4 linked regions of the Coturnix japonica genome follow. The protein of the gene in region 2 purifies or fractionates together with the protein of the main gene of each other region. This does not show direct contact. Links are inferred from orthologs where the notes say so. Each region holds a gene or a part of one and is shown on either strand. Other genes may lie near its edges.

The links.
Region 1: the proteins of RBM17 (region 2) and SNRPA1 purify together in Homo sapiens (affinity purification with mass spectrometry; 5 studies listed by BioGRID and IntAct, with this or other methods). This does not show direct contact. The link is inferred for Coturnix japonica from reciprocal best matches to the Homo sapiens genes RBM17 and SNRPA1.
Region 3: the proteins of RBM17 (region 2) and SF3A3 purify together in Homo sapiens (affinity purification with mass spectrometry; 4 studies listed by BioGRID and IntAct, counting the BioPlex papers as one, with this or other methods). This does not show direct contact. The link is inferred for Coturnix japonica from reciprocal best matches to the Homo sapiens genes RBM17 and SF3A3.
Region 4: the proteins of RBM17 (region 2) and CHERP purify together in Homo sapiens (co-immunoprecipitation; 4 studies listed by BioGRID and IntAct, counting the BioPlex papers as one, with this or other methods). This does not show direct contact. The link is inferred for Coturnix japonica from reciprocal best matches to the Homo sapiens genes RBM17 and CHERP.

Annotation. Positions count from the first base shown.
Region 1 is NC_029525.1:15,973,414-15,978,075, reverse strand, and holds the start of SNRPA1 (U2 small nuclear ribonucleoprotein A'), read left to right. Parts: upstream 1-1,565; 5' UTR 1,566-1,664; coding exon 1,665-1,746; intron 1,747-1,969; coding exon 1,970-2,117; intron 2,118-2,836; coding exon 2,837-2,915; intron 2,916-3,062; coding exon 3,063-3,109; intron 3,110-3,207; coding exon 3,208-3,310; intron 3,311-3,818; coding exon 3,819-3,898; intron 3,899-4,662. UniProt on the Homo sapiens protein: Involved in pre-mRNA splicing as component of the spliceosome. Associated with sn-RNP U2, where it contributes to the binding of stem loop IV of U2 snRNA.
Region 2 is NC_029516.1:3,129,430-3,132,395, reverse strand, and holds part of RBM17 (splicing factor 45), read right to left. Parts: intron 2,135-2,966; coding exon 1,983-2,134; intron 1,298-1,982; coding exon 1,221-1,297; intron 826-1,220; coding exon 727-825; intron 236-726; coding exon 163-235; intron 29-162; coding exon 1-28. UniProt on the Homo sapiens protein: Splice factor that binds to the single-stranded 3'AG at the exon/intron border and promotes its utilization in the second catalytic step. Involved in the regulation of alternative splicing and the utilization of cryptic splice sites.
Region 3 is NC_029538.1:3,123,519-3,128,282, reverse strand, and holds the start of SF3A3 (splicing factor 3A subunit 3), read right to left. Parts: upstream 3,038-4,764; 5' UTR 2,991-3,037; coding exon 2,895-2,990; intron 2,773-2,894; coding exon 2,725-2,772; intron 2,599-2,724; coding exon 2,546-2,598; intron 1,716-2,545; coding exon 1,610-1,715; intron 1,232-1,609; coding exon 1,159-1,231; intron 776-1,158; coding exon 684-775; intron 410-683; coding exon 327-409; intron 15-326; coding exon 1-14. UniProt on the Homo sapiens protein: Component of the 17S U2 SnRNP complex of the spliceosome, a large ribonucleoprotein complex that removes introns from transcribed pre-mRNAs.
Region 4 is NC_029543.1:3,379,532-3,383,747, reverse strand, and holds part of CHERP (calcium homeostasis endoplasmic reticulum protein), read right to left. Parts: intron 3,948-4,216; coding exon 3,709-3,947; intron 2,957-3,708; coding exon 2,823-2,956; intron 2,546-2,822; coding exon 2,459-2,545; intron 2,173-2,458; coding exon 2,023-2,172; intron 1,906-2,022; coding exon 1,789-1,905; intron 1,613-1,788; coding exon 1,518-1,612; intron 1,012-1,517; coding exon 826-1,011; intron 90-825; coding exon 52-89; 3' UTR 1-51. UniProt on the Homo sapiens protein: Involved in calcium homeostasis, growth and proliferation.

The sequences.
Region 1 (4,662 bases), on a different chromosome or scaffold from region 2:
TGTTTTGCAGCGATTAACTGCCCAGGGTAGTGCTTGGGTATCTGGTTCTGAGCTTTAAAAAGGGAAAAACTGAGCCCTCCCGTGAGGGGCTTATAGAACACCCCGAGTTGGAAGGGATCCACAATGATCACAGAGTCTGAAAGAGGATGTTTCCTCAGAGCTGTGCTGCTGTGGGCTCGTGCATCTCACAGCTTTTCACAAGTATCAGAGGATCAGTGGGACTGAGCCAGATGATTTATCACACACTGATTCCTTCTGCTGCTCTGGGATCCCCCTGTTGTTCTCGGGCCAAACCAGAGGTCAGAAATGGGGCGAAATGCTTCTGGCTTCTGCCACTTTGCTCATCAAATAACAAACTTCCATTGCTGTTGTCATGTCCCAGTCCCAGCCGGGAGCACCGTGTCAGCTCTGGCACTCAGCTCTGCCGTGGTATATTTAGATGCACTGAAATGCTGAATTTACCCTTATCCTTGGCACAAACTATGAAAGCACAGCCTGGCTGAGGTAGTGCAATTGAAGATGACCAATCCCCAGCAGTCTGTGCTTTCTGCTGCCTTCCAGCCCACAGGGAAAGAGAAACAAATCCTCCGTGTCGAGTTCATACAACGACATCAGCTCCCAGTGTTTCCCAGGGCTCCGACTCCCTCAGAAATCATTCCTGGAAAGCAATAACATTCAGATTATTTATCTAAGCTATTGCTTGGAGCTATTAAAGCCTCTCAGCCGCTGGTATGCACAGAGGATCAAAGTGTGCCTCTACCAGATAAACGAATACAATTTATTAAAGCACATTTCTTCATTGTCTCTTGGCACCAACAACTCAACTCTAACAGCTGGATCTTAGTGCAGCCTGAAGCCCCGCTCGCAGTTTGGCTGTGAGGCTGCATCCACAGCAATCTTAAAAACCACCACTTGGACTTTCCAGTACAAAGGAGCTTTCCAGAGCTCGTGTACAGCATCTGAAACCAAGAACTGCTCTGTTACAACCCCATTACAACCCCTAGAGCTGAGCAATACAGTGTGTTGTGCTATAGGAGGAAGGTCCGCATTCAGGTGGCTCTGAGACGCCTCCAGCTGTGTTGGGCTGTGCACAGGGAAGCAGTTCCCTCTGCTGACCGAAGTGCTGCAGCGCTTCAACTGCGACCACACCAGAATTGGGCACAAGGACAACTTTTATTTATTTATTTTTTATTTATTTAAATTGGCTCTTATTTACAATGATGCACTGGCACGGGTTGCCAAGACAAGCGATGGATGCTCCCCTCTACAACACCCAGCGCTGTCCCTTCTAACCCAACCACGCTGTGATTCCATGATTCTGATTTCTATGCGCTTTCCTTCCAGCTCGACAGCTCAGAAAAGCCACCTCTATACAGCCCCTCCCGGCCGCCATTTTGTGGAGGAGGGGCTGCAAGAGGACGGCCCTCTTCCTCTCGGCTATGCTCGGCTGTGTTCGGCTGTGTTCGGCTGTGCTCGGCTGTGTTCGGCTGTGTTCGGCTGTGTTCGGCTATGTTCGGCTGTGTTCGGTTGTACTCGGCTGTATTCGGCTGTGTTCGGCTGTTCTCGGCTGTACTCGGCTGTTCTCGGCTGTACTCGGCTGTGTTCGGCCTCGCTCGGCCGTGCGGCGCGTTGTGGGCTCGGTGCGGCCTGTGTGTCCGGGCGGGATGGTGAAGCTGACGGCGGAGCTGATCGAGCAGGCGGCTCAATACACCAACGCCGTGCGAGACCGAGAGCTCGACCTGCGGGGTGAGATGGATCTGCCGGGAGGGAGCCGGGCCTGGCTTTGTGGGGGGGGATCGGGAGCGGGCCTGTGTGGGGCCTGCGCTGAGGGGAGGCGTGGGGCCTGCACTGGGAACGGGCCGTGCAATGGGGGGGGTCGTTCTGTGTGTTAAATGCCTCTTTCATGTGTCCCCAGAGCTCCATCCCATCCTGCTTTATTCCCTTCTCACGTTTCTTTTCCCCCCCACAGGGTATAAAATCCCCGTCATTGAGAATTTAGGGGCTACGTTGGATCAGTTCGATGCGATTGATTTCTCGGATAATGAGATTCGGAAATTGGATGGGTTCCCTCTGTTGAGAAGGTTGAAAACTCTTCTGATGAATAACAACAGGATTTGGTACGTGGTTGTGTTGTGATCAGTGTTGTGATCAGACGGGACCTGGGGCAGAGCAGAGTGAAGAAGGGAAAAGAAGCGTGCCCGTGTCTTTTAATACCTGATAGGTGTAAAAATATCTGCTTTATGGGGAAGAAATAGCGCTTGGTATTTGCTTCAGCCTTCAATTAGCCGGCTTTGTTCATTGCAAAGTTCTGCCCCAGCTCTGTGTTCCATTTTCATACAGGACAATGAGATGCAGGGCCTGGAGTTTGTGTTGGGTCCTTGGGGGTTGTTCACTACCCCCATAGTGATGCACAGACAGGGGTGCCTGCAGCTGAGTGAACAGAGCTACCTTGCTGCACCTGGTGCCCTTACAGTGGCAGCTGCTGTTTTATGTTGGCTTTGTTACAAAGCTGATGCTCACCCAAACTTCTGCTGCTGTCATACTTGGCTGTGTTTAAGTGAGGTGCTCTATGTTGGCATGGCTGCCCAGGGAGGTGGTTGGAGTTGCTGTCTCTGTAGGTGTTCCAGAGCCATGGAGAGGGGACAGAGGTGGCCCAAAATGCTTTCAGCTGTGTTGGCCACAGACAGGTTTATTGGGCATGGTGGGGATGGGCTGAATGATCTCTGAGATCTCTCCAGCCTTAATGATTCCGTGATTTTTAATATATCTGTGTCTGTGTCCACCATTGTTAATTTCCAGCCAAAGGTAAAATCTTTGTGTTTTTATTCTTCTGTAGTCGGATTGGGGAAGGACTTGAACAAGCTCTGCCCAGTCTCACAGAGCTGGTTCTTACCAACAACAACATTTCTGAACTGGTAAGTTAGTGATGCAGAATAAATCTTGACAGCTCTAATGTTTTTGTCCTCTTTCTAATTAGTCGTCTTCTTCAGGAGCTTCATTCTGAAATATTTGATTGTCGTGAAATGGATTTAAGATTCTTACTCTGTTCTTCCATTATATAGGGTGAACTGGATCCATTATCAAGTATTAAAACATTGACTTACCTGAGGTGGGTAATCTTGAAAAGAAAAGCAGCGGCTTGTTGTGATATATTTCAATATATTCAATACATGAAGTAACTCTTTGTGACCTTTATTTGCCTCGTAGCATTTTAAGGAACCCAGTAACAAATAAGAAGCATTACAGATTATATGTTATCTACAAAGTTCCCCAAGTCAGAGTGCTGGATTTTCAGAAAGTGAAACTCAAAGTAAGTCTGTTACCTTCGGATTGAACACCAGATGGAGACCTTTTCTCCTATTAACTCATAGAACTGTAGTGAAATCAGTAAAGCTTTTTGCCCCAGCTGTAAATGGCAGTGGAACAGTTTGTCCTATGAGGCTTTAAAGCTGGTGCTTCTCTTTGATGGTTTCACGCCGTTAAGGATGTAATCTGCTTTATTGTTTTTAATTGATGTTTCACTGCTGTTGTTTGTTTAGTCTGATTCTTTTCTGGCTGGCCGGTGTTGGTGGTGATAAGGGGAACGTAGAGAAAGGAATGAGGGATCAGAGCAGAGCCCTCTGCTTGGGGCTGTTGCTTCTAAGAGCACTGAAGTGCTACACCTCGAGTTGGAGTGTTTGTGCAATGTGTTTGTGCTTGTCCTGGGCTCCTCATGCTGATGTTCACTGAAGATGAGCCAAAGCATCTTTCTTTGCAAAGAGCAGCTCTGCGAAATGCTACATCCTTCCATTAACTTTGTATGTGTGGTATCGCTGTAGGAGCGACAGGAGGCAGAGAAAATGTTCAAGGGCAAACGGGGTGCACAGCTTGCAAAGGATATTGCCAGGAGATCAAAAACGTAAGATAAAACAAACGCTTGCACTGGCGTTCTCCTTCAGAAACACCACGTTGTGTGCGGCACCGAACTGAGACGGCCCTGGTTGTTTGGATGGTGGTGAACACATCTGAGATCTTTATGGTAGACCCGTTTGGTCAGGGTGGATCGGGATATAGCAGTAAACAGGGAACTCTGTGTTATTTTACTGCAGAGAGGGGGCTGTGGTTTGCTTGGTTTTGCTCTCTATAGTGACTGGGAACTGAAAAATCTATTGATCACATTGAGGGTGCTCAGTGAGTGCTTAGAACTGTTATCAAATGTGCTCTCGCTGTGGTTAATGAGTGGAAATGGCCCATGTCTGTGATGGCTTTTGAACAAGTGAATCAATGAATCAAACACCCAGTTCACATCCCAAATACACGCAGGACAGGGCGCAGGTCTGTGAAGCTGGGTCACATTTAGGCAGCTCTTTCAAGCTGTGACTTCCATTTCCATAGACAACAAACGTCTGCTGTCCTTTAAGCAGCAGCAGGTAACTCACAAGGAACTTCCACCATTCATTTTACATAGGCTGTCCCAGTATCCTGTGAGATACTGAAATCCAATTCCATTCACTCTGCTTTGTGTGATGGTTCAACAACATCCAAATCCAACAGCTTTCATCAGCCGCTTAATTCTAAGGTGCCAGTCTGCCTCATTATGAGCAGATGAAAAGATCTGGGGGGGGGGAAGGGGATGGGACAGTGAGGACAAATCCAAGCGGTTGGTGTTTCTGAAGGAGGCCA
Region 2 (2,966 bases):
AAGTATCTTCCATTTAGATCCACAACAGCTATAATTGCAACAAAAAAAGAGGTCAGCAAGCAGCAAATCAGCGACTAAAAATCTGAGTCCAATGAGCGAGACTGTTTAATCTCTTTGAAGAAATGAACTCTGAAATTCATATGACACAGTTTAATAACCTACCTTTAATTGCAGACTCAACCCGTTCAAATTCCAAAAATATTCTTACAGCTTCATCATCAGGGGCACCAGGAATCTGAAAGAAAACCCAAAAACAAAACAAACCCCAGCAGGTCTGATTAGAACAGTAACAAAACCACTGCATCACGCAGCACTTCTTCACAAAAGCAGAATGTAAAATTAAGCCAATGTAATTCAATTCTTCAGTTGCCAAAGGGAGGTTGAAGACTGCTGAACTTGGGTCCTGTTTCTCTATGGAAACCTTTTGAATCAGCTAGGGTGAAAAGTTTCAGTAATCGAAACTTAGAAGCATCTCAAAGTGAAAGATTAATTTAGCAGGAGGAACTAGAAAAAGTTCCAAAACACTCCAGGATTTTGCTATTTCTGACATTCAGAGTTCACGCTTCACAAATATTGGAAACATTGGAATCGCAACACAACAAAGGACCCTTTGAAATCCTTTAATCTATGCTGCTCCTTCACAGCAGTAGTGTGCAAGTCATGAAAGACAAATGGCCAGTTCAACCTTTGGAGTAACCAGAACAAGAGAAAAAGATTCTGTCTTACCTCAAAGATGACACATTTCCCAACCTTGCCATATTTTTCACATTCTTCCTTAGTTTCAACTTCCAGATCTTCATCCACCTCACCAGCACCCACCATATTCTGAAAGTTTAAACAATAAACATAAGTCATTGGATGCAGCCTGAATAGACAATCATGTAGATAAATCACGGATGCATGCAACGGTGACTATGAATAATTTAAGCTATTGTTTACCAGGTCAAGAACCATTTGGTCACATTCCAGAGCCTAGACAGTTCCCTAATACTAAGACACTGTGACATGGTCCCTGCACAATCTAAATCGGTGTTGATTTACAATTACAAATTGTATGTTTTCCTGTGATAGATTTTCTCCACAACACACAGAGCACCATGTAGGTGCAGTTCAGAACTGTCTGAACTGTACAGAGTCACTGTAACAGGAATGCAGGTTTTAGCGCTTAAATCAGTTGTGAGTGCTGGAAATACCAAGACACAGCTTTAATCACAACTTACCCTTAGTAGGACCACTTTAGTTGGGCATTTCAGTATCTCAGTCAGTGGATTAGAATCTGCTTTCTTGGTTGCATCTGCTAGGAAGAGAAAAAAAGTTAATCATGGAATCATTTTAGACTAATGCTCATATGAAGGCTTTTATCAGAATCTTACTGTTAGCAAACAGTGAAATAAAAACCACTAAGTATAGTTTAGTACTGGTGAGGAAGAGTATTTCAGATCTTGCAGCTACTTGGAAGGTCAATATGCAGAAAAATCGCTGCTACAAAGACCATAGACAATGTCTTATTTCCTTGAGGGAAATCATTCATGAGTTGAAAACTGCATCAGATGCACTAAGAATTAAAAAACAGATCTCCTGACTTCCAGCACTTGAGTTCAGAATTGTGCTGTTCTACTAAGTGGAGATGCTGTTTCTAGACCAAACAACAGCAGGGAAATGAAGGCATTATCTAACACACATGATGGGGGAAAAAAGCCAGCAGGAGTGCAGCAGGATCACTCACTGAAGTGAATGTACAGGTAGAAGGTTTCAAACACTAAAGAAGGACAGCTTCAGGGGGAGGATGAGTTAAAATAATAGAAGACCACTTCAATAAAATGTCGTGAAGGTAAGTTCCCACAAGAAGGAGAACCTTGTTCCAACTAAGTAGTATTTTCTGCTAGAACCAAGGGCTAACAGAAATCCAGGATCTCCCACTGACTACAGACTGTTATTTCCCACAATCATTTTTCACAGTTATTGGTGCAGGACAAGATTACCTTTTTCTGTAGCATCACCAACAATGATCTTGCCACCCCTCTTGCTTGTTTTCTCTACAGAGAGTGCTGTGCTCAGCCCCTGTTCATGCTTTCCCAGGCCTTGACCCTCTCTGAAACCATACTTCTGCATGATTTTATGAGCTACTGTCCCTCTGCAAAAAGAAAAAAACCATCAGTTAGTAAAGGTTTCTTACAATAACATCATCATTTCATTTCTCCAGAGCGTGCAAGTACTCAAAAGTTGCTCACACTTTTCCAAACACATTCAAAGTTCTAGTAGCAAAGCAAGTCACACATCATGCCAAAGTTCATTTAGTCCAGTTTCTGACCTTTTGTCAGTGGCTGGCTTCAAAAGTCTGAGAGAAAAGGCAGATGTGGAACCATCTGCTTCCCCCATTAGATCACATTATACTACCTACTGTTTTGATGTCTGCATAAGATCCAAAGCACGTGGTTTTGTTAGCACTTCCTATAACAAACCTGGATATTCTCAGTATTAATTAACATGGCTCTTCTTTCTGGATTTTCAAGAGTTTACTAATGTAACAATTCTCTAATCTATTAAAAGTACCATCTTTGTTGGCATTTCTTTGGAGCACATAGCTGGATAGACCAAGGCATCAAAGAAATGTCATGGTACAGTAATTTACACCACAGTAAATAATGTACACTAAGTCACTTCCATTCTACCAAGAGGCATTTAAGATAACACAGAAAACATTGGATCAGCGACTACATGACACATACAAAGGCCTGGCTTTGTAATGCTTGAAAACTGAAACACTAAGCCACAGAATAAACAGTAGTCAATTGTACAGGCAAAATATAACAGCAACTCCTTCAATGAAGTGAAGGTTCCAGGGCAGTGCTCAATAGAGGAGGTAGCAATACATAAATGAGTCCACCAGTACTACTTCAGTTCCACGGGTCTTTTTGTTTTGTTGTTTTACATTGCTTAGAAAAATGATGTTTCTATTGAAAAAT
Region 3 (4,764 bases), on a different chromosome or scaffold from region 2:
GCATTTCAAGATACCTGGCAAAGTAATTATCAGCACAGACAATTCCATATCAAAGTACTGATATAACAAAGTTACCGAGATTAGAACAGATTTCAATACAGCAAACTAAAGTACTGCCTCAAAATTAGAAGCCCAACGGCTTCCCACGTTTTGTTGTGCTTCACGTCCTCTCAGGGCTCAAGGGATTTATGACCGAGTTAATACAGCTCAGTGACCCAATCTCTGTCACCTCTGCTTGATTACTAACTCTGCTCCTGGACACTTGAGAAGCAAATTCCTTCTCATCAACTACTTTCATGAATGAAGCAGGCAGGAAAAAGACTCACCTCTTATATTCAGCGTTTTTTCTCTCTTTGGGGATGTCAAAGAGTTGGTCAAATGTAGACAGATAAGTGATGTAATCCAGTTTCTAAGAATGAAAGGAAGTTTGATTCAGACTTTAGATACACACAGCATATCAGCAACCAATTTCCAGTCACCAGACTAGAAGAAAAGCACAAAGCTCATGCCTTTATTCTGCATGGTCTGCACAGGGCTGGGGTTTACAGTGTGCTTTCTAACACAATGCAAAACAAGCACCATAAAACAGCTATTTGGAAATAAATGACATTTAAAACAGACCACTGAGCCCTCAGCACTGAAGTGCAATACAACAGAGTGCCCACACTACTGCAACCACTTACCTCTGATGATTTCAGATTAATGTATTTGAGATAGCAATCATGCAGATCTAAGTATCTTCCATACCCTTCTTCATCTGTGAACTCCACCAGGTCTGCAGGAAAGAGCACGCAGGGCTTTGTTACAAACTCAACATCCTCTGCTTGTTATATGCATGCTTTAGAAGCTGAACTGCAGACTAGTTTATCTTTCTTAAGCATGTTTATAATGCAAATGGATACTCATCGACTAGATGGCCACCAGCTTCCTAGTGTTATATCAGACCATCCCCCAAAAGAACCATCTCAACAGTGGAATATTTCAGGGTGGCTGCAGCCCAGAAGAATTTAAATGAAATTAAAACAGTTGTTATGGTTAATGTAGGGAAAGGGAGGTGGAAATCAAAGCAGAACAGACAGGTCACTAAATCACGGCAAGCAATGTGTTCTCAACTAAACAAACCTCAAACAAGAAACAAACAAAACCCTGAAGACTTACTTTGAGCTTCTTCACTTGGGTTGTCTCTGGCCTTCAACAGTTCCTCAAACTCCACTGACATTGGAACACAAATCTTCAGGAACAGAAGAAGTTATAGAAAAAGGGATTAGTTCAGCTAATGCCCAGGAGTAATTAATACAGACTGCAAACAGTAAAACAAGTAACTGAAGAGGTGTTTCAAGCACTTCTTCATGATTATATTTGCACTAAAGACAGCATTAGGCAGGCAAGAATGAATGCTAGCTCAGAAGCAGAATGCTCTTAAACTAATAGAGAGTGTGGAGGACATGGTGAGCATCCTGCATTTTCTCCTACTCAGACAGAGGCTCATATAAAGTCTCAAAGCATCACCTATTTCTAGACACTTTGTTTTCCTGAATGACATTTTAATACAGCAGAGATGAAGCCCAACACACCACAAACCAGTTATCCTTATGGAGCTGCTGCTTACCTCATTGGGATGCTTGCGGTGGAACTCTTTTATTTGTTTCAGTCTGTTATAGAATTCAGCAAATTCATTTGGCCCTGAAATGGCACTGAGCTCCTCCTTCCGTAAGCTACAGGTTCATAAAAAGAAGACAGGTTGCATATAGAAAACACGTTTATGTTGGTTTATATTGGTATAATGTTTGGAAGTCTAACACTGCATTCTGCTCCCACAAAACACCAGTGAGACTGAAATCACAGCCCCACCATATGGGGACAATAATGAAAAGATGGTAGTAAATAACCAAAAGGTTATTTACAAGTTAAGCTCACCCATATGGAAGCCTTAGATCTGCTGGGAACCACTGAAGTGATCACTACCAAGCAGCAATCACCAAGAGATGCTGCATTAGTGGTGGTCAGCCCTTCAATGAGGTCTAGAGGAGGTGAAGTCAAGCTCCACCCCTTTATGGGGAACAGCTAAATTACTCTCACCTGTGCTCCCACAGCTGACCCAACACTTGGCTCAGCTGATTAATCAGAGGTTCAGGCTGTGATTACCAATCTCCCATACACCCACTGATGTTCCACATGCAGCCAGGATTGTGCTTTGAGGATCAGGGTCACATCTCTATTGCAAACGCTGCAGTCTCAGTTAGAGACCGTCTCCCTCAATGATTCAATACCAGAGGGTCTGGTACAGCTGGTGGGGTTGGGTGAGAGGAGGTAGGAGTGTGGTGGGGGATCAGCTCCACCCCCATATGGGGATAGGAAGGGGGACAGGGCTGTAGTACTGCTCTGTGCTTTCTGCTTGAGAAGTGTTTGTGTTGCATGTTTCATGTGAAATCTGGGTCCTCCTCTTTAGGGCAGACCCCCAGCTTTGCATTGTAGCATCATGTCTGTGGTGTATAAAGCAGATCCAAGGCAGCCCCATGTCCATTCCAGCCCGCTATACACTCACCCATCCTTATCGTCATACAGGTCCCTCAGGTTGCTGCTCACTTCCATGTACCTCTAAAACACAACACAAACCTCACGTTGACACAAAGAACCTCAACCAAACCGGGGCCAATCTGGGCCCTGCACCTCCACAGCTACCCGAACCACCCCCAGCCCCACTCACACCCCGACCCCACTCACATCCTGCATAGCCCGAGTCCTGTGGTCGGAGTTGATCTGATCGCGGAGCTGCATAGAAATAAACGGCGTTAATAATGAAGGCCTGAGCCCGGCCTACCCCCCCCACACCCCCCCCCCCTCTCCCCGGGCACACACCCCCTGTGTCCCCCCACTCCCATCCCCGGGCTCACCGTGGATTTCTTAGTGAGCATCTCCTTCACCATGACGTCCATCAGCCGCTCTCGTTCCTCATGGTAGCGCCGCTGCTGCTCAAGGATCGTCTCCATCTTCTCCCCTTCCAGCCCGGAACCAGAAGCTCGCTGTGTAACACCGGAAGGGTCCGGCCCCTTCCCTGAGCCGCTTGATCCGGATTGAATGTGGTTCCGCGTTGATTTTAGCCCATGTGAAGGTGTAGAGCAGTGAGATCCACTGGCCGCCACAAGCCAGTTATCCCAGTTATCCCAGAAAAGTGGGAACTTTTCTGACACCTCTCGCTTCAAACCCATAAAGTCGTAAGGATTGAGAGCACTGCAGGTGCCCCCAGGCTGGGGTGAAAGCCTCCAGCTTCAATGTGGCTGTGGGCAGCGTTATACAGCCATGAATCACAGCCCAAGCAGAATAAAACATGTCCAGTCCGGTGCTGCCTCCTTCCTGCCTGCCTTGGGGTTACAGATGTTGCTCCTGGGATGAACAGACGTTGTGCTTAATGGGCTTTGGACATCACGGCTGAAGGATGTCAGGACTTAGGGGAAATGGTTTTAAGTTAAAAGAGGGAAGATTTAGGTTGGATGTTAGGGGGAAGTTCTTCACTAGGAAAGTGGTTAGGTCCTGGAACAGGCTGCCCAGGGAGGTTGTGGATGCCCCGTCCTTGGAGGTGTTCAAGGCCAGGTTGGACGGGGCCATGGGCAACCTGATCTATGGGGTCTCTATGGGGTCTCTATGGGGATCTATGGGGTCTATGGGGTCTCTATGGGGATCTATGGGGTCTCTATGGGGATCTATGGGGTCTCTATGGTCTCTATGGGGATCTATGGGGTCTCCTGGGCAACCTGAACTAGTAAATGTGTATGTTTGGTGGCCCTGCTAGGCAGGGGGGTTGGAACTACATGATCCTTGAGTATATTGAGGAATAAAGCTGTCTCTGTGAGTTCTGCGGCCTCCCCACCTTTTTGGACCTTAGCTGAGGGTCTGGAAGAAGGGATAACAGCAGGAGGAGCATTCAGGATGCCTGAAGGGCTCAGCCACATCCCTAACCTCACGTAACAGAGGCAAAGGAGAAAGTTCACCTTCAGCTCTGGTTCCCCACTACCCCAGGCAGTATGGACAGTAGTGGACCCGGGCTTGTTAGCACACACAGGTCCAAGTCCAAGCCTTCAGCTGCACCTGGTCTCCAGACCCATCCCTGCAGGGCTGCAGGAGCTGCTGGGGCAGGTTTATGTTGGGTTTAAGAGCTCAGAAGAGGCTGTGCTGGAGCCATGACCTGACGCTGCATGTAGATGCCTGCAGCTGGGAAATGGGTGACCTCCAGCAGGGAGCTGAAAAGAATGTTTGGAAAGAGAGAGCCCTCAACCACAGGGCAGCGAGGGATGCCCACAGTGAGCCCCAAAAGCATGTGGCAGGAGCCACCGTGTCCCTCTGTAGGGTGGCTTTTCAAGCTCAGTGTGTGGTTAATGCTGGGCTCACAGTGAAGGCTCTGCTCGCCTGGCTGCGTGCTGAGGAGTATTTCCGTGCCTGCTTCAGACCATGCTCTGAGAACCCAGGGGAGGTTTGTGCATGACATCACCCTCCCCCTCCCGTAAATCAGGCCCGGGGCCGCTCGCAGCCATGACCCATTCATGACAGGGATAAAATCCAGATGTTCCAGCTCTACGTGCAGCTGGGTCATTTCCTTTTTTGGCTAAAAACGTGAGGCTCTTGAGGCTGAGCAAAAGAGGAACCCAGGGGCCCTTTGGACAGAAACCTTTTGTGGTTAATCCCTGGAAACAGCACTGCAGAAACAAGGGCTCGTGGCGCTGCTGCTGCTGCAGGACAAGCTCAGCCAAAAACCTCCAGGGCCTGAGT
Region 4 (4,216 bases), on a different chromosome or scaffold from region 2:
TACAAGTTTAATGTTTTGTAGAAGATGCAAGACATCTTTCTTCAGAGAGTCTTATTCAGGTGGTGGAGGGTCTTGCGTTTCACGCTTCACTGAAACAATAGGGAAAAGAGCACTTACACATTTCAGACAGCTTAGGTAACTGCAGAATGCTTCATGGAATGAGGGCTCTGTTAATAACAATCGTTTTCCTTTGTGCCTTTGTTTGAATCCATTTGATTACGCAGATCTACTGCAGCCATAGGCAGAAGTGACTTTTCATCTGGCATGCCAATTTTTCCCTTCTAATCACTGCTAAAATTCATGGTTTGGGTGTTTTCATCTCCTAAGAAGCATCTCTATTTTTTCTGCACCCTACCTGAAACTGCATACAGTGACTTTATCACCAGTTCTGGGGTTGACAGAACACAGCACTCATTGCAGGAGCTGGGCAGGGCCAAAAAGTGAGTGTGGGACAACTTCCCTCCAACCACACCCTTCCTGCTCTGGCAGCCATCCATCCCTGGCATGGCCCCCTCCACTACCTTTGTGACCGATCTTGTTGTTTAAAGGATAACATTTAAAGACAGAGACTACTGCTACAGGCAGGATGTGGCTTACACAGAACACGCTAATTAATTAACATTTCAGAAATCAGAATACAGCACAATCCCAAGAAGTAGAAGACATAGGGTTAATCAGTGTGTTCACTTACCTGTCGTTTATTTTACCCATTACATTAGAAAGAATTAAGAGTTAATTTGATTTTGAGTTTACATTCTACCGTAAAACTCCTTAAATAAGGTAAAATCACAAACAACATGAGCAGTTTTTTGAACATCTACTTACATTCATCCCTAGCCTTCATACGTGCGATAAATGAGTAACTTTTATTTCTTCTGTAGTTCTCATACGGGTCATCTAATGCAACTCCCACTCCTTTATATTGATCCCATTTGTCTCGAATATCTCCTCCTTTAATTGGGTCCTGAATTCCTTGTTCCTTGGCTCCCAATCCACCAGACCCACTCCATCCTGTACAAAGTACACGACACTGTAACTTGTAACCATTGCAACACTAGAATTGCGAACAGACATCCTGGAAATAATGAATAGAACTGCCAGTTCAATGTGGCAGGGTAGTAACAGTCTGAAACAACGTATGAACTGTCCCATCTACTTCAAAAGCAGCAATTCTGGGAGCTGAACAGCATCAGCTCAATCCCTAAAAGCTTTCTAAGAGGACAAGCACAAGGCCAACCTGTCCTGTCAGTCCTGCTGATGCTGATCTGTGCTATAAGGAGATGAAACGTGCCAGGTAGTTAAATTCTATTTCATGCTAAGCTCACATCCCTCTCATCCGCATCCTTCTCATGTTTCATGCTCTCTGTATTACATCTCTGAATATCCTTATTCTCACCTTAGAATACCAAGGTGCTGTAAGGGACAATAATTAAGATTTGCAAAGATTAACTGGATGCAGGAGCTGCTCGCCCCATTTTGTTTGCTGGCTTATGGCAGATTCAAGAACAGCGCCTTACCCATTTTCACAAGCATCTGATGGCCTTTATTTTCCTCTCCAAGTCTTGATTCTGGAACAGGAGGTCCAGAACTGGAACCTAAGCCAGCAGAAGAGCTAAGGAAATAAGAAGATGAAATTAAGAACAAGCAATAACTGTTCTGACCCAGTGCAAAGTCATTTATGTTCTGTTAAACATTAACACCCAGTGTAACCTTGTCTGCTCTACTAAGAAATTCTTTTATAAAGCTGTAAACTTACAAAGGTAAAAAGAGAAACAAACAAAAGCTTACGGAGGGGTGGGGCTACGAGAGCGAGACCGGCGCCGCCTGCCTGGAGAGTAAGACTTGGATCTTGATCGTGACCGTGATCGTGAACGGCTGTGAGAAGAGCGGGACCTGCTCCGGCTTCTAGAAAGAGACAGCACAAACCCATCAGTCACACAGCACACCAGAGCAATGCCCAGGGTTCCACGCTCAGCCCTGCAGGTCGTTCCCCCACCTCCACCTCTGAGTTCCGCACTCTACCTGGACTGAGAGCGTGAATAGGATCGGGACCGAGAGCAGGAGCGAGATCGGGACCTTGAGTAGGAGCCAGATGACTTTGAAGATCGTGAATTGGAGCGGGAGGAGGAGCGACCTCGGCTTTTAGACCGACTGCGAGACCGAGAAGGGCCACTGCACAGACAGAAGCAGAAAAACTCCTGTGAAACTCCTTGGAGATGCTTGAGCATCTCAATGTAACTGTGCTTTTGATCAAACTGAAATCACACACACAGCATTTCTGCAAACAAGCCCAACAAAACTCGAGTGCAAAAAAGAAATTTTCTATGGATTACACCAATTAAAACTCAGTTAAATCCAGTAACATATTGCTGAACTGTTTCCCTACAACAGTGCAAGGCAGTCCTAGCACCTTCCAAACAAACAGCACGCACAGAAGGCAGCAGACAAGGTCTCTCACCTATTTCTCTTCTCCTGACCTTTCCTCCGCCTTGCTCTCATTTTAGCTCTGAAGAATTCATACAGTCCATTCTGCTCCCAGCCTTCACTGCAATAAATCAACCACACATAGAACAGACATCTGTAAAACTCAATCATGATCAACAGAGGATTTCCGCTCAATGTGGTAGGGAACAAAGAGCCTGGGCACCAAGGTCTTGCAACATCTCAGTGTAAGATCAAACGGTTTAAAATACAACAAGAGCACTTGTTCTTAGCATTAGAAGAACCAAGACATGGGTGAAGGAAGAGAGAACCACTTCTTGGTTTGAGACAGCTCCTTAGGGCATTTTCCTTACCATATTGTTAGCTATACCTACTCTTACCTGTTTCTAGGCCTGTCATGAGATGGTGGACTATAAAATGCCTCAACCGCAGCCAGTAGTCTCTCACTGGGGGGCATTGGGGGTGGAAGACGTATATCTTTAGGATCTAAAGGTTTATACTCATGATCTTCAAGCTGCCGGAAACAAAACAAATTACATTCTTGTCATGTGTCATGGGGTGGCCAATCTGAAGAGATAAATATAAATTTAACCTTGTAGGGACCTCACAGTTCACTATTGGATAAAAATGCTCCAGTAATAAGGATTCTGCAGATGACCCAAAGCTTTCTTGTGCTATCACCATCATTTTGAGATAAGCCAGTAAATACACATACTGAGACATTAACTGGACCACCAGGTAGATCAATTGCAGGTGTTACCTATCCAGCTCTGTGATAATAGTGCCTGGATTGGAAACCTGGTAAAAACCGGTGCGTGCTGAGGGTAACAGAAAGTTAAGATGGAATAGACCTGTTTGTTCATCTCAAGCACAGAATGCATACATGCATATATCCCCCAAGATGTTGATACAGATACGTATCCCTACCATTCGTTGTTTGTGTGTACAACATTAGTGTCACAAAACATCTATGTAAGAAAGAACTCCAAATACCAAGACTAGCGTACAGTGGCCCCACCAGAACCGCCAGTTCCCTCTGCCTATATGGAAATCACTGGAGGTAACACCGTCAAAAGCACATCAGTCTTTCACGTATACAGGCTTAACTGGCTTTCACTAGAACACAACACTTCAGATTCTCACCATTTACACTACCTTCCCCGTCTGCTGGATGGAGAGATGTGAAATCATAAGCGTCCGTGTTAAACTGCCTGTAACGCTGACTATGGGATTTTGATGGAGTCTGGGCCCATCCCAAGCACTTACTTTTACAAGTGGAGCCATCAGTCCAGCAGGAAGATCAAAATAGGGAACATTTGGCACCAGACTGGGATCATCGTGGTTCATGTGAGGGGGGCCTTGTCGCCGCATGTGAGGAGGCTGCCCATTAAATCCATGTGGGGGAGGCCCAAAATCAGGGTGCTGCGGCCCTCCCCAGGGAGGATGCTCGCTGATTCCAGGATGAGGCAATCTGTGCCCAGGGTGATGATGAGGAGGTCCAATTTCTGCACAGAGTGGAAGGGTTAAAACATTTTACTTAGCTGTAGAGAAAGGAAGGCAATCAGAAGCGTACTTCTATTAGTGCATTTATCTTAAAAACAACCTTGGCACCTAGAGCCTTGCAGACCAAGAAAAGTGACAGAAGAACTAGAGGCTGGCTACAGGCCCGTATCCATGAAAGTCTTGCAGCACATCTCCCTCCCTGGCTATAGCAAATACCCTCAAGACAACTGGATATTAACTGTAAGTCACCCCTTACTGTAGAACACACTGC